2 linked regions of the Nothobranchius furzeri genome follow. The protein of the gene in region 2 purifies or fractionates together with the protein of the main gene of each other region. This does not show direct contact. Links are inferred from orthologs where the notes say so. Each region holds a gene or a part of one and is shown on either strand. Other genes may lie near its edges.

What was found. The genes of interacting proteins can lie anywhere in the genome.
Region 1: the proteins of ubap2l (region 2) and g3bp1 purify together in Homo sapiens (affinity purification with western blotting; 6 studies listed by BioGRID and IntAct, with this or other methods). This does not show direct contact. The link is inferred for Nothobranchius furzeri from reciprocal best matches to the Homo sapiens genes UBAP2L and G3BP1.

The regions. Positions count from the first base shown.
Region 1 is NC_091741.1:69,282,512-69,287,639, forward strand, and holds the start of g3bp1 (ras GTPase-activating protein-binding protein 1), read right to left. Parts: upstream 3,303-5,128; 5' UTR 3,168-3,302; intron 1,751-3,167; 5' UTR 1,729-1,750; coding exon 1,634-1,728; intron 1,529-1,633; coding exon 1,447-1,528; intron 599-1,446; coding exon 425-598; intron 355-424; coding exon 264-354; intron 1-263. UniProt on the Homo sapiens protein: Protein involved in various processes, such as stress granule formation and innate immunity. Plays an essential role in stress granule formation.
Region 2 is NC_091759.1:4,197,498-4,202,862, forward strand, and holds the start of ubap2l (ubiquitin-associated protein 2-like), read left to right. Parts: upstream 1-1,966; 5' UTR 1,967-2,066; intron 2,067-2,228; exon of another isoform or gene 2,229-2,249; intron 2,250-3,280; 5' UTR 3,281-3,322; coding exon 3,323-3,418; intron 3,419-3,620; coding exon 3,621-3,698; intron 3,699-4,210; coding exon 4,211-4,321; intron 4,322-4,697; coding exon 4,698-4,872; intron 4,873-5,017; coding exon 5,018-5,119; intron 5,120-5,234; coding exon 5,235-5,280; intron 5,281-5,365. Other genes in the region: protein C1orf43 homolog, read right to left, coding at 64-122, 203-369, 555-608, 696-804, 860-961, 1,035-1,097. UniProt on the Homo sapiens protein: Recruits the ubiquitination machinery to RNA polymerase II for polyubiquitination, removal and degradation, when the transcription-coupled nucleotide excision repair (TC-NER) machinery fails to resolve DNA damage.

The DNA of each region.
Region 1 (5,128 bases), on a different chromosome or scaffold from region 2:
GGAAGGGAGTCCATGAATGCCAAGTGACAGTGTGACGCAGATACGTCAAGGACTTTCTAACCCTAGAGCTTCACCGTCAGAAGCTAATGCAGCAGATTGGTGTAGGAGACTATTTTCATGTTCAGCCTGCTTGAAAAACCCAAAGTGACCGATTATGAACAGAAATATTAAAAAAATGTTTTTTAAACCTCTTTTAAACTTGCTACATTACACCAATTTCAGAGAGAAAAATGTTTAGGTCATAAAACAAAACAGTTTCTCACCTTCTGGAGGCTCAGAGTCAGAGTCACCAAACACCTCGTCTTGGTAACGAAACACGTCGTTGTGGACGTAGAATTTATTTGCCACCGTACCCTGGAAAAACATGCATGTGAATAAACTGATCAGATCAATGAAAAAAATATATTAATAATCTAATACCAACCTCTGGTGCCAGAACGAAGGTCTGCATGAACTTCCTCATGGGCTGCATGTTATTAGACAGCTCGCCCATCACCTGCACCACCACGCCTTCGTTCAGAGTAGCGTGAGCGTCCACATGTCTGATCTTAGTGTGGCAGTCTCGGAAACTCAAAGCCATCACTCTTTTATGGATCTCCTGATAAAAAAAAAATTCAAAAGATTTAACGAACTGAAGATTTAATTTGGGCATTTAACAGCAATCAATCATTTCTCAATTATCCAACTACATGACAAGAGCGATAATGGTTATTTTAACAAGCATTAGAATAAAACAATTTACGTGAGGATTAATAAATCAGAAAGTACTGATAAACATTCATCAGAATGTTAAACTACCTAGAAAACTTAGTTTCTGGAAGAAAAAAACAAGTGTGTAACAATGACTCTTGAAAAGAAAATATATTCATGAATATTTCACATTCTAGATTCATGAGACTATGAGACACACCTAACAGGCCTTTTCCAACAGCACTACTCAGGCTAAAACAGCTCAGTGCAGCGTGGGTTAACTCGGCTCACCACAGAGTACTTGGCTTTCCTTGCCTGCTCAGAGACAAAAAGTGGGTGCACCCCTCATAGCGGATGGGGGGGACCACAGCATTTGCTTGTGCAGGGATCTTTACGCGACAAAAATAGCACAAGGTCATCAGTACACACTGTGAGGTGACCTGCATGCTCCACAGAAACAACTCTGCACAAAAATAAAGGTGATGTTGAACACTCTTCAGTTTTATGGTTTCAGACAGCAGACAGAAGGCTCTGGAGCAACCAGTGACTCCGCCCCCTAGCCAATCAGTGGCCGACAGTCGAAATACCGGTTCAGCTCTTGGAACCAAAACAGAGGGACTGAAAAGTAGAGGGAAAGCAGGGGAAAAATACCAAAACGCGCCGTTGGACAAAAGCAATCAGACCAAACCGAACCCTCCCGAGTTGCACCAAGTATTGCCGCTGGAAAATGCCTCTAACTGGGTGAAGCCCACTTACAGATTGTCCATAAACCGCCTCTACTGGTTTGCCGTTGCTGTCCAGGCCACCATGCACATAGGAGGAGTTCTTTCCGTAAAACCTGAACAAAAAGACAAACTAGTTGTTTGTACAAATATTTAACAATTTATCATAAAACCATTTAAACTTCAAAATCAAACCCTCCACAAGCAGCTGACTTCCGTACCTGTGCAGGTAGTCGGGGGCCTGGTTCAGGAGTGTGTAATACTGTCGGACAAACTCTCGCCCGACCAGCTGGGCACTTGGCTTCTCCATCACCATTTCTTTGGTCAACTGGAAATCTCTGCAAATAAGAAAAGTGTCACTGACAAAGAAAATGACGGACTGTGATTCCAAGTAGGGACAAAGAAACTGGTGATTTGATCCAAGAATCAGAATAAAATAACTTCATTAATCCGACAGTGGAGAAATTCATAAGGCAGCTACTTCCACAGACTACAGAGAGTGAAATCATTAGTCTTGATATATTTACATCAATTTGTAAAAATGAAATAAAAACTTGTAGCTCAGGTTCCTGATCAAAGACAATATTTTTAACTGTAAAATGTTTTAATGTAAACATTGATAACTAATAGTCATCAAAAACTATTGTCTTCATTTAGTTTTTAACAATCCTGCAACAATAATTTTGGCACCTAGCGTTATGCAGCACATTATGGCAACATTTGATGAATGAGTTGGTGAGAGAACCTGTTTCTGCTCAGGCAGGAGGCAAATAAAGAACAGGTAATCAAACCTGAGAATTTACGTTAGTCACATAGAAGCTACGGTCTAATCCTTCTTCTATCAGATCATTCAGAACCAGAAATGAGCATCCTCATAAAGACAACCAGCGAAATCCCATCCATCATGAAATGAAACCGAGTTAAAGAAACAAGCAAAGCAATCCATCGAGATCAGAATGTGCCACCGGGCCACGATGCGCGCAGAGGATAAGCTTGGACTTGTGTTTATTATCTTAAGTCACGGTCTTGAGTAAAGGTGCTCGAACTGTAAGCAGACAAAGGCCACGCCGTGCCAGCCGTGATGGAGTCATGGAGGCCCCCGCTCGCCTCAGGGACTAAAGGCCAGTCCGGCGGCCGTTACCAGATATAACCTGAGCACACATGGCACGACGCCCGGCCACACCACGGAGCTGAACAACGACAGCTGGAGCAGCTCACGGCCTCAAAGCTGAACAGAGACCCGTCTGCTGCTAGGTTACGGAAGGAGCCCCAGCACGTGTCCCGCACGGTCCCTGGTCTAACCTTTCGCTTTTAGCGACCACACACCCAAGGTGGTAGTTTATACACAAATAAAACCAACGAAACACTACCAAATTCGGTTCGATCATACAATTCCAAATGTGGAAAGTAATATTGTAAAGAAAGAAAACGGGAGTCACGACTGAAAGGGCGGTGGCTATTTCCTGAAATAGCAAAAGCGAAACTTGGGGATTAATAATTATTTTCAAATAAGTTACAATTTCAAACTTTCAGTAACAGCCTTGTGTTTTAAATAATTTAATAATTAAGCGAACTGCACAGTTATAACACCTATGTAATAGCTTAGCTACAATGGCCAAAACCAGCTAACATCATCGCAAGGCCAGAAAATAGACGGAGACCGGGACGCCAACCCAGTTAATCAAATAAGCGCGGCGAAATGAAAATTTGCTTTTTCGAAAATAGGATAGCATAAATAGGAACGAAACAACTCACCAACTGATCAAACTATTAAAATGAAAACGTTGCTTTGAAATAATGTGACTTTTTTTAACCAGCGTAGCAGCTGCCTGTTAACTAGCGGCTTCACAACGTGCTGGAGTACCCGGATACCGGTGGTTTCACCCTCGCAATCGCAACTGAACATGATGTCCCGCCTCTCAGAGCTTCTCTGGCCAATAAGATTAAGGTTTTAGTCAGCAACCAATTAAATAAAGCGCCAAGGAGTATCCCGGATGAAAATGGAAGTTTGAGTAACGGTTTAAGGTGCGATGGTTTTAAGAACTGGCGTCTCCCGTAGTCAATATGCACTGTTACATTTTCTCCACTTGGAGGCGACAAAAGTGTTTGGCCAACATTTGAGCTAATGTAATTTGTGGAAGATTGATGCAAGCGCGTTTTATCTGAGATTAGACTGATTTATGCTGATTCTGTCTCGAAACAAAACAATTCAGACGTTATGTCAACTAAAATGAAAAGCAAAAGAGTTACAAATGTATAAATATTTGGACAACTTTTTAAACACCTAACATGGAACATTTGAGACAACATTGATTGAACAATATTTATGTTGGTACTGAAATCTTCAGATTCCCCCTTCTCTGTGTCATAATATTCATTGTGAATGTCATAACGTGATTTTTTTAAGTTTGTTTCTTTCATTAAAAAATTGTTGTTTTTTTTATTATTTCTTGAGTTTGTTTCTGTTCTTAGCTCTGTTAACTTTGGAGGGGTCAATAGACTGCCTGGGAAATTTGTCCTTTTAGAAACTTTTATAACTTGTAATAATTATTTAGGAAAAAAGAAATTCAAAATGAAATAATTGAATATTGTGGAGCTGGAAAAGAAATCCTCCAGAGTCATTCCTCACATATGATATCTTAAGTATTAGATTCATGTGTAGTACAAATGTTTTGCTAATGTGCTTTTTTTATGGAAACTGGAAAGAAATCTATCTAATCAGCTATTATCTATTAATCACTAATTAATCCAGCTGTAATTATTGACAATCCTAAAAAAGTTAGCCAGAACACAGATGATGGTTCTTTAAAAAAAATTCAAACATCAAATCTAAAAGGTGCCACTTCAAATGTTTAACTCACCTGTATTTTTTATTTTTTATTTCGTAGTTTTTGTTAAATTCTTAAAATTCTCCTTAAAACCACACCTATGACTTTATGACCTGAATGAGATTTTAATGTGTTAAATCACCAAACCTTCTCTTCAACAGCATGATGAACTCATTATTTTTTCCCTGCTGTGGCAGAGAGGAGGGACTTCAGGCTTCATGGGCCCTGGGGTTGTTTCACATTCCTGACGCTGGAGTCTGGATGAGCGGGTGGAGATGGTAACAGGGTGCTCCGGATCTCCCTCTGCTGTCTCCCAGGGGACCACGAGCAGCCTTAGCCAGGGAAAATGAAACCTCTCAGTGCAACAACGTTGAACAGACAGACTGAAGACATGAACAACCTTAAATGGCAGTCAGATCTGAACAGCGTGTTCTCATGTTGAATTGGCTCATTCAAGCCGATTTTCATAGACACACCTTCAATTCATGCAGCCAGGATTTTCTGATGTTACAAATAAGTGTTCAGTGCAAACTTTTAATTACTCACATCACATTACAATGTCAAAAAGAGTTTAGCTTGACACACAGTGTTTAATCCCTGTCTTTGCTTTCTTATCACAATTTTTAAGACTTTTTCGTTTGCGTTCTGATCAGAGATGGTGCAAAATGATCAACCAAATTCGAGGCTTCACTAATTATTTTAATGTGAAAAGCAGTTGTGATGAGGAAGAGTTCTGAAGCAGCTGCATGGAGAGAAACCTTTAGAAATCCTAAATGGAAGACCAAAGAACAATTCAAAGTAACCAAAGCAGAAAGTGTAACCTAAGTTCTGCAGAAACCTGGACTATCTGGACCAGAGCAGAACACCGGCTTAAGTAAACAACATGAC
Region 2 (5,365 bases):
TTGCCCTGTTAATATAGCACTAAAGTATTTGTTCCAGTGTTGGAAACCTTAAGAAGCACTTACACTTCAGCAAGTTCATTGAGTGCTTGTTGATATTCAAGGAACTCCGCCTCTCCGAACACCTGAAACACACATTTAAAGTCCAATCAGTTTGCAATCCCACAGTTTCCACCTTCTGTTTCACAAGAGCACCTGCACCCACCCCGGTCCCATGGCGGGCGCTGTCATAACCTTCAAGTAAGCGGTCGATGAGAGCACTCCGGCTGCTCTTGATCAGAGAGTGGGAGTTGCGCAGCTCCACCAGCCAAATCCTGAAGCTGCGTCCAGTAAACGCAGTGGGACTGACGCTTATCTCCTGTAGAGGAATTCCTATAATCCAAACAGGAAGGAACCGGAATTAAAATGGGACGCAGGATCGATGTGAAATACACACACAGCTAATTAGATTGAAAAAAAAATAAACTTGTGATTGCATTTTTTATGCGCATATATGAATAAAAGTGTGTGTTGGGTTTCTCATACATTATTAGACAAGCGTTATAATTTCATCTCACCTGAGTCACGAATGGCATCCAGAGCTTTCATTCTGTACAGGTAATTGTAACAACCTGTGATAAACAATAGGGAAAATGTTACAAGAATTAAACTTTTTTTTTTTTTTTTTTTTTTTTTGCAGGAAACAAAACATGACTGACTGATCTGTGATCCTCGCTTGAGTCTGTCGTCCTCTTCTGATAACAGACGCGGTTCGAACCGGATCTCGTGGACCTTCGACAGCGTGGCGTCGATCTCTTCCCTCAAACCCTGCAAATACATTCATGTAAACATGCAATCGAGCTGTTCTAAAATTGACCTTTACCTTTGGTGCGTTGTGGCCGATGGGAGCATGGGGTCCACGGCGGGACCTCATGGCAAAACGCATGATTTGTCTTTTAACGAAGATAAACAGCAGAACAAACACCTGCAGACGCACAAGAGGAGTTAAAATGAAGTAAAACCACGTCGCTGCGTGGATATCGCATTTGTTTACTTACCAAGCTCCCATATGCCATGACCAAAACGACATTAACACCGGACAAAGGCGACGAGTCTGCCATGCTTTTTATTCACTTTATAAATCCAACACGCCTACATTATCTTAGCAAACAAGACTTTCACTATTTGTAATAATTCCCTCTCCTTCGCAACTCCTCTTCTTGATCGACACATGAAAATATTTGCAGTTAGCTAATGCTAGCTTAAAACTGACAATCAGCTGTGTAAAAATAGCGTTATGGTGCACGACCGTCCTCATGTGGTTGGAGTGTGAATTACAATACAAAAATCAACAAACACGATTTCTGGTGTAAAACTATATTTTTATTGCAAGTGAATTATTTTCGCTAAATGTGAATTCAAATTAATGTGTAATATTTTGTATCATTGTAAAATAAACACGAGAACGGGGTATATTTACAAGTAATGCTGTTAAACCAGTCTTGAGTTCTGTTTCTCTTGCTGTTCTCATGTAACATCAGTTTTGTTTTCAATATACTGTTTTTCATTTAACCTGTTTAACTTGTGCAGTTGTTTGAAACGCAGCTTAATCTTGAGCCGGAAACAAACTCATTTAAGAAATGTGACGAAGCAAGCTTTTTTTATTACTACCATCTAAGTCGTTATCTAATGTGTTTACAAATGATTTTATAGTTTAAATTTGTATTAAAGTTAATACATAATATAAACAAAATATTTTGTTCAAACTTTAAACAAAACAATTTGTTTATATTATTTATTAAGTCCTCATAAACATCATGATCATGGTCTAGCATTGTCAAAACTCAATGGTTTTAGTTCTGGATACTTGCGGAGCTGTGAAAGTTTTAATTTTGTGCTTTTTTTCCTGAGGGCAGAAAATATGGGATGTATTTCGGTTTTTCCTTCATGTTGTTGAGACATGCCTCAGCTCTGTTGATCATATCAAACTATATCAGAGCGGGTCACGTGGTGCGGGTCCGGTTTCCTCGAAGCGCTCTCCAAAACCACGTGACGCAGTTCTCCGTGGTGTCAGAGTGGAAAGGAAACAGGTAAATTCAGCGTCTCGTTTATTGTGTGAGCGAGTCGGCTCTTTTTTAATCATAATTTTCCTGAAATAGTTGCAACCACATTAAGTTTCGGGTTTATATATTGTCTTAAATCCAAAATAGAAAGTCGCCAACGGCTCTTGTCGGCCAGTTGTGTGGCTCTGCGATATTGAGCCGGGTTTTCTGGTCAGTATCGCCTGCTATTTATTTTCATTCTAGCGGCCTGCAGGCCTGCCCCCAGCCTCGGTGTTATCCAGGTCGACACTCCCAGAAACAGATGATACCGGGCCCACCCTGGCTTAGAGTGTTGCAATGTACGAGCTGCTAATTTGCTAACGTAGCTAAAGTTGCTCAGTTGTTCGGAACGACGTTATTTCGCTACTAGTTGTTAGCATCCAGCTTGTGTTTGCCGACCGTTATGGGCGTTCTGTAGTTTTACCCCTTCGAGTGTTAAAACTCCCCAGCATGTCACTGTTTGGTGAGCTAATTAACATGTTGTCTACTAAGCTAAGTCAGCTAACAGCTGCGTACGCAGCCAGGTTTCCGCACCGAGTTAGCTGGCTAGCTGTTAAAGTTAGCCTCGTTGTCGCCATGAGGTGAAGCCCAGAGAAGCGGAAGCCCACCAAGAGGCTTCAGAGCTGGATGTTTTCCTTTAAGGATTAGCCAGTGGCCTGCTTATTGACCATGCGGCTGGCTAGCAGAACCGGGAAATGTTCGACAGGGCCTGCGTTTGTTTTTAAGCTAGTCAAGGCTGAGGTTTTACGTAACCTGTACAAGATTAAGTTCTCACTTAACATTAGCAGGAATAACAGTTTGTTATTAACCAAGTTGTACGTGACTGATCTTGTGCTTGTGTCCAGCCCGTCAGATCTGATATAAACACAGCCTTGTTTGTGTTTGAAAGGCTCTGTGATCATATTTATTTGATGGGTGGGCTTGCTGAACATCACCTAGGTTTTTTTAGATGCAGAAATGTTACGTCATGTTCTGAGAGGTAAATAACTTATAGTCTCGTAAGCTTTTAATGGAGCTGCATCATCTGACTAATCCAGGTCATACAAAGGAACCAAAATGACATTTTCCTGTGAACCACTGCTTCCATCTTCAACATAAAGCAATAAACATCCTACTGAGGAAGTACTAATTAAATATAACAGTCATACAAATGTTCAAGTAGGTCATAACTATCCCTCTCATCTCGTTCTTCTCTCCTGCAGGTGTTATTTCTTTGTAAATACTGTTATTTGTATATACTGTAAATGATGACGTCCATGGGCGGGAACCGAGTCCGGGGCAGCTGGGAGCAGACACAAGGCCAGACACAGAGCCAGACACAGCACAAGCAGAGGCCTCAGGTACCTGCTCCACGCGTTCACGATTTACACCAATAGATTAATCCGGCCTTTTCTGATAAGCCCTCGCTTTGTTATGCAAACGCATCCCAACATTTGGGACTCATCGCTTGACTAATAAAACAAGTTTATCTAGAAATAAATAAGGCAGATATTAATAAACTTGCAGTAGATGCAAATACTGGATGTTTCCCTCTTCTCGCAGGCCACCGCAGAGCAGATAAGACTCGCGCAGATGATTTCAGACCACAACGATGCAGATTTTGAAGAAAAGGTTAAACAGGTGAGCAGACACGGACCTCATTAGGACTTATTTTTATTCTCATACCTTTGGATAATAAACCAAACACTTGAGTGGCTTTTATGACTTGAGTTATACGCTTGACTAACTATTCCGCTACAGGGAGAGATTTATTTATTCAGCAGGAAGTTGTGTCACAACATGCTCAAAGAAGTCAGGCTGGCAGCTTTAATCCTCCATGGCTGCTAGCTGACCTTTTCATTGAGAAGCAATACTTTTGTTTTAGTAAATTATACAGAAAGTTTGATTGTAGAGACAGTTTCTGATTGGAGGGTTCATTTTTTGGGGGAATTTTAGCTTATTATTGGCATAATGTGAAAATTTTTAACTTTCGGTACCCTATTTCAGTGTTTGACTCATCTATTGACTTTTTTTATTTGATGCATTGTTTTGCTCGTTTCCATAGTTCTGAGCATGTTTTAGTATAAATTCAAAAGCAGAAAAGCACTCCTGGGGTCACCTTAGCGTCTCATAGTTCGCCCCTCCTCTTGCAGCTGATTGACATCACTGGAAAGGACCAGGATGAGTCTATGATCGCGCTGCATGATTGCAACGGGGACGTCAACAGAGCCATTAATGTGTTGCTGGAGGGTAGCCCAGACACTGTGAGTAAATGCTTTGTCTCGGGGTAGATTGTGGAGAAATCTGTGCTAGTGAGGCGTGAAAAACTCCTTTAAGTCAAGCTAATCTAGTCCTGTCTCTTTAGTGACTACAACATGGTATTAATACAAGAAAAGTATTGTGTAAATATAAAAAAAACCTACGTTATTTTCTCAGAAATAAATTGTAACAAATGAAATTATTTTTTTGTTGGAGGTTTTTTTACAGCCACAGTCGGCTCTTACAAAGTTTTATGTGCCATCTGCAACAAATCGAGCATGTTTTATACTCCGCTTTCCTGTGTAAACGTCCGTTCACAACGGTATCCCATGATGCCACAGGTGGAAATGCTAGTTTGACGCTGTGTTTCTCTTCTTAAAGGACTCCTGGGAAATGGTGGGTAAGAAGAAAGGGGTGTCGGGTCAAAAGGAGACCAGCCAGGCAGAAACCGGAGAAGAAGGCAAGGAGAACAGAGAGAAAGGAGGAGAGAAAGATGCAGCACGTCGCCGAGGTGGAGCTTCGCGCAGGGGTCGCGGAGCAAGCAGGGGACGAGAGTGTGAGCCGTTACTGTCTGTTTGTGCCAAATGTAGTTTAGTCAGTTTTCCTATTAAATCTTTGATTCTTTTCTAAGGAGTTTATTTTTCTGAGGTTTGCAGAATTTTAATGTGAAGGTTTTTTGTTTTTGCTCTTTCTACCCGAAGTTCGTGGTCAGGAGAACGGCTTGGATGGAGGCAAAGCCGGGATAGCTGGAAGAGGGGCGGAGCGGGGTCGAAGGGGCCGAGGCAGAGGACGGGGAGCTGTCGGTAAGGGTTCGTTTTTACTCCCAGTTTGTCTGTGAGGTGATGCTTTTTTACATTTTTTGCAAGAATCAACAATAAGTTGGACTAAAAGTGACCGGAGCTCTAATTTTATCCACAGGAGTTTCCGGACGGAGAGGAGGCAGGTTTTCAGCGCAGGGCATGGGGTAAGGGAACACCTGTGTCGCCTAAATCCATAGGTCCTTTTGTTCCACTTTTACCTGTTGCCATGGTCACCAGAGAGCAGGACCC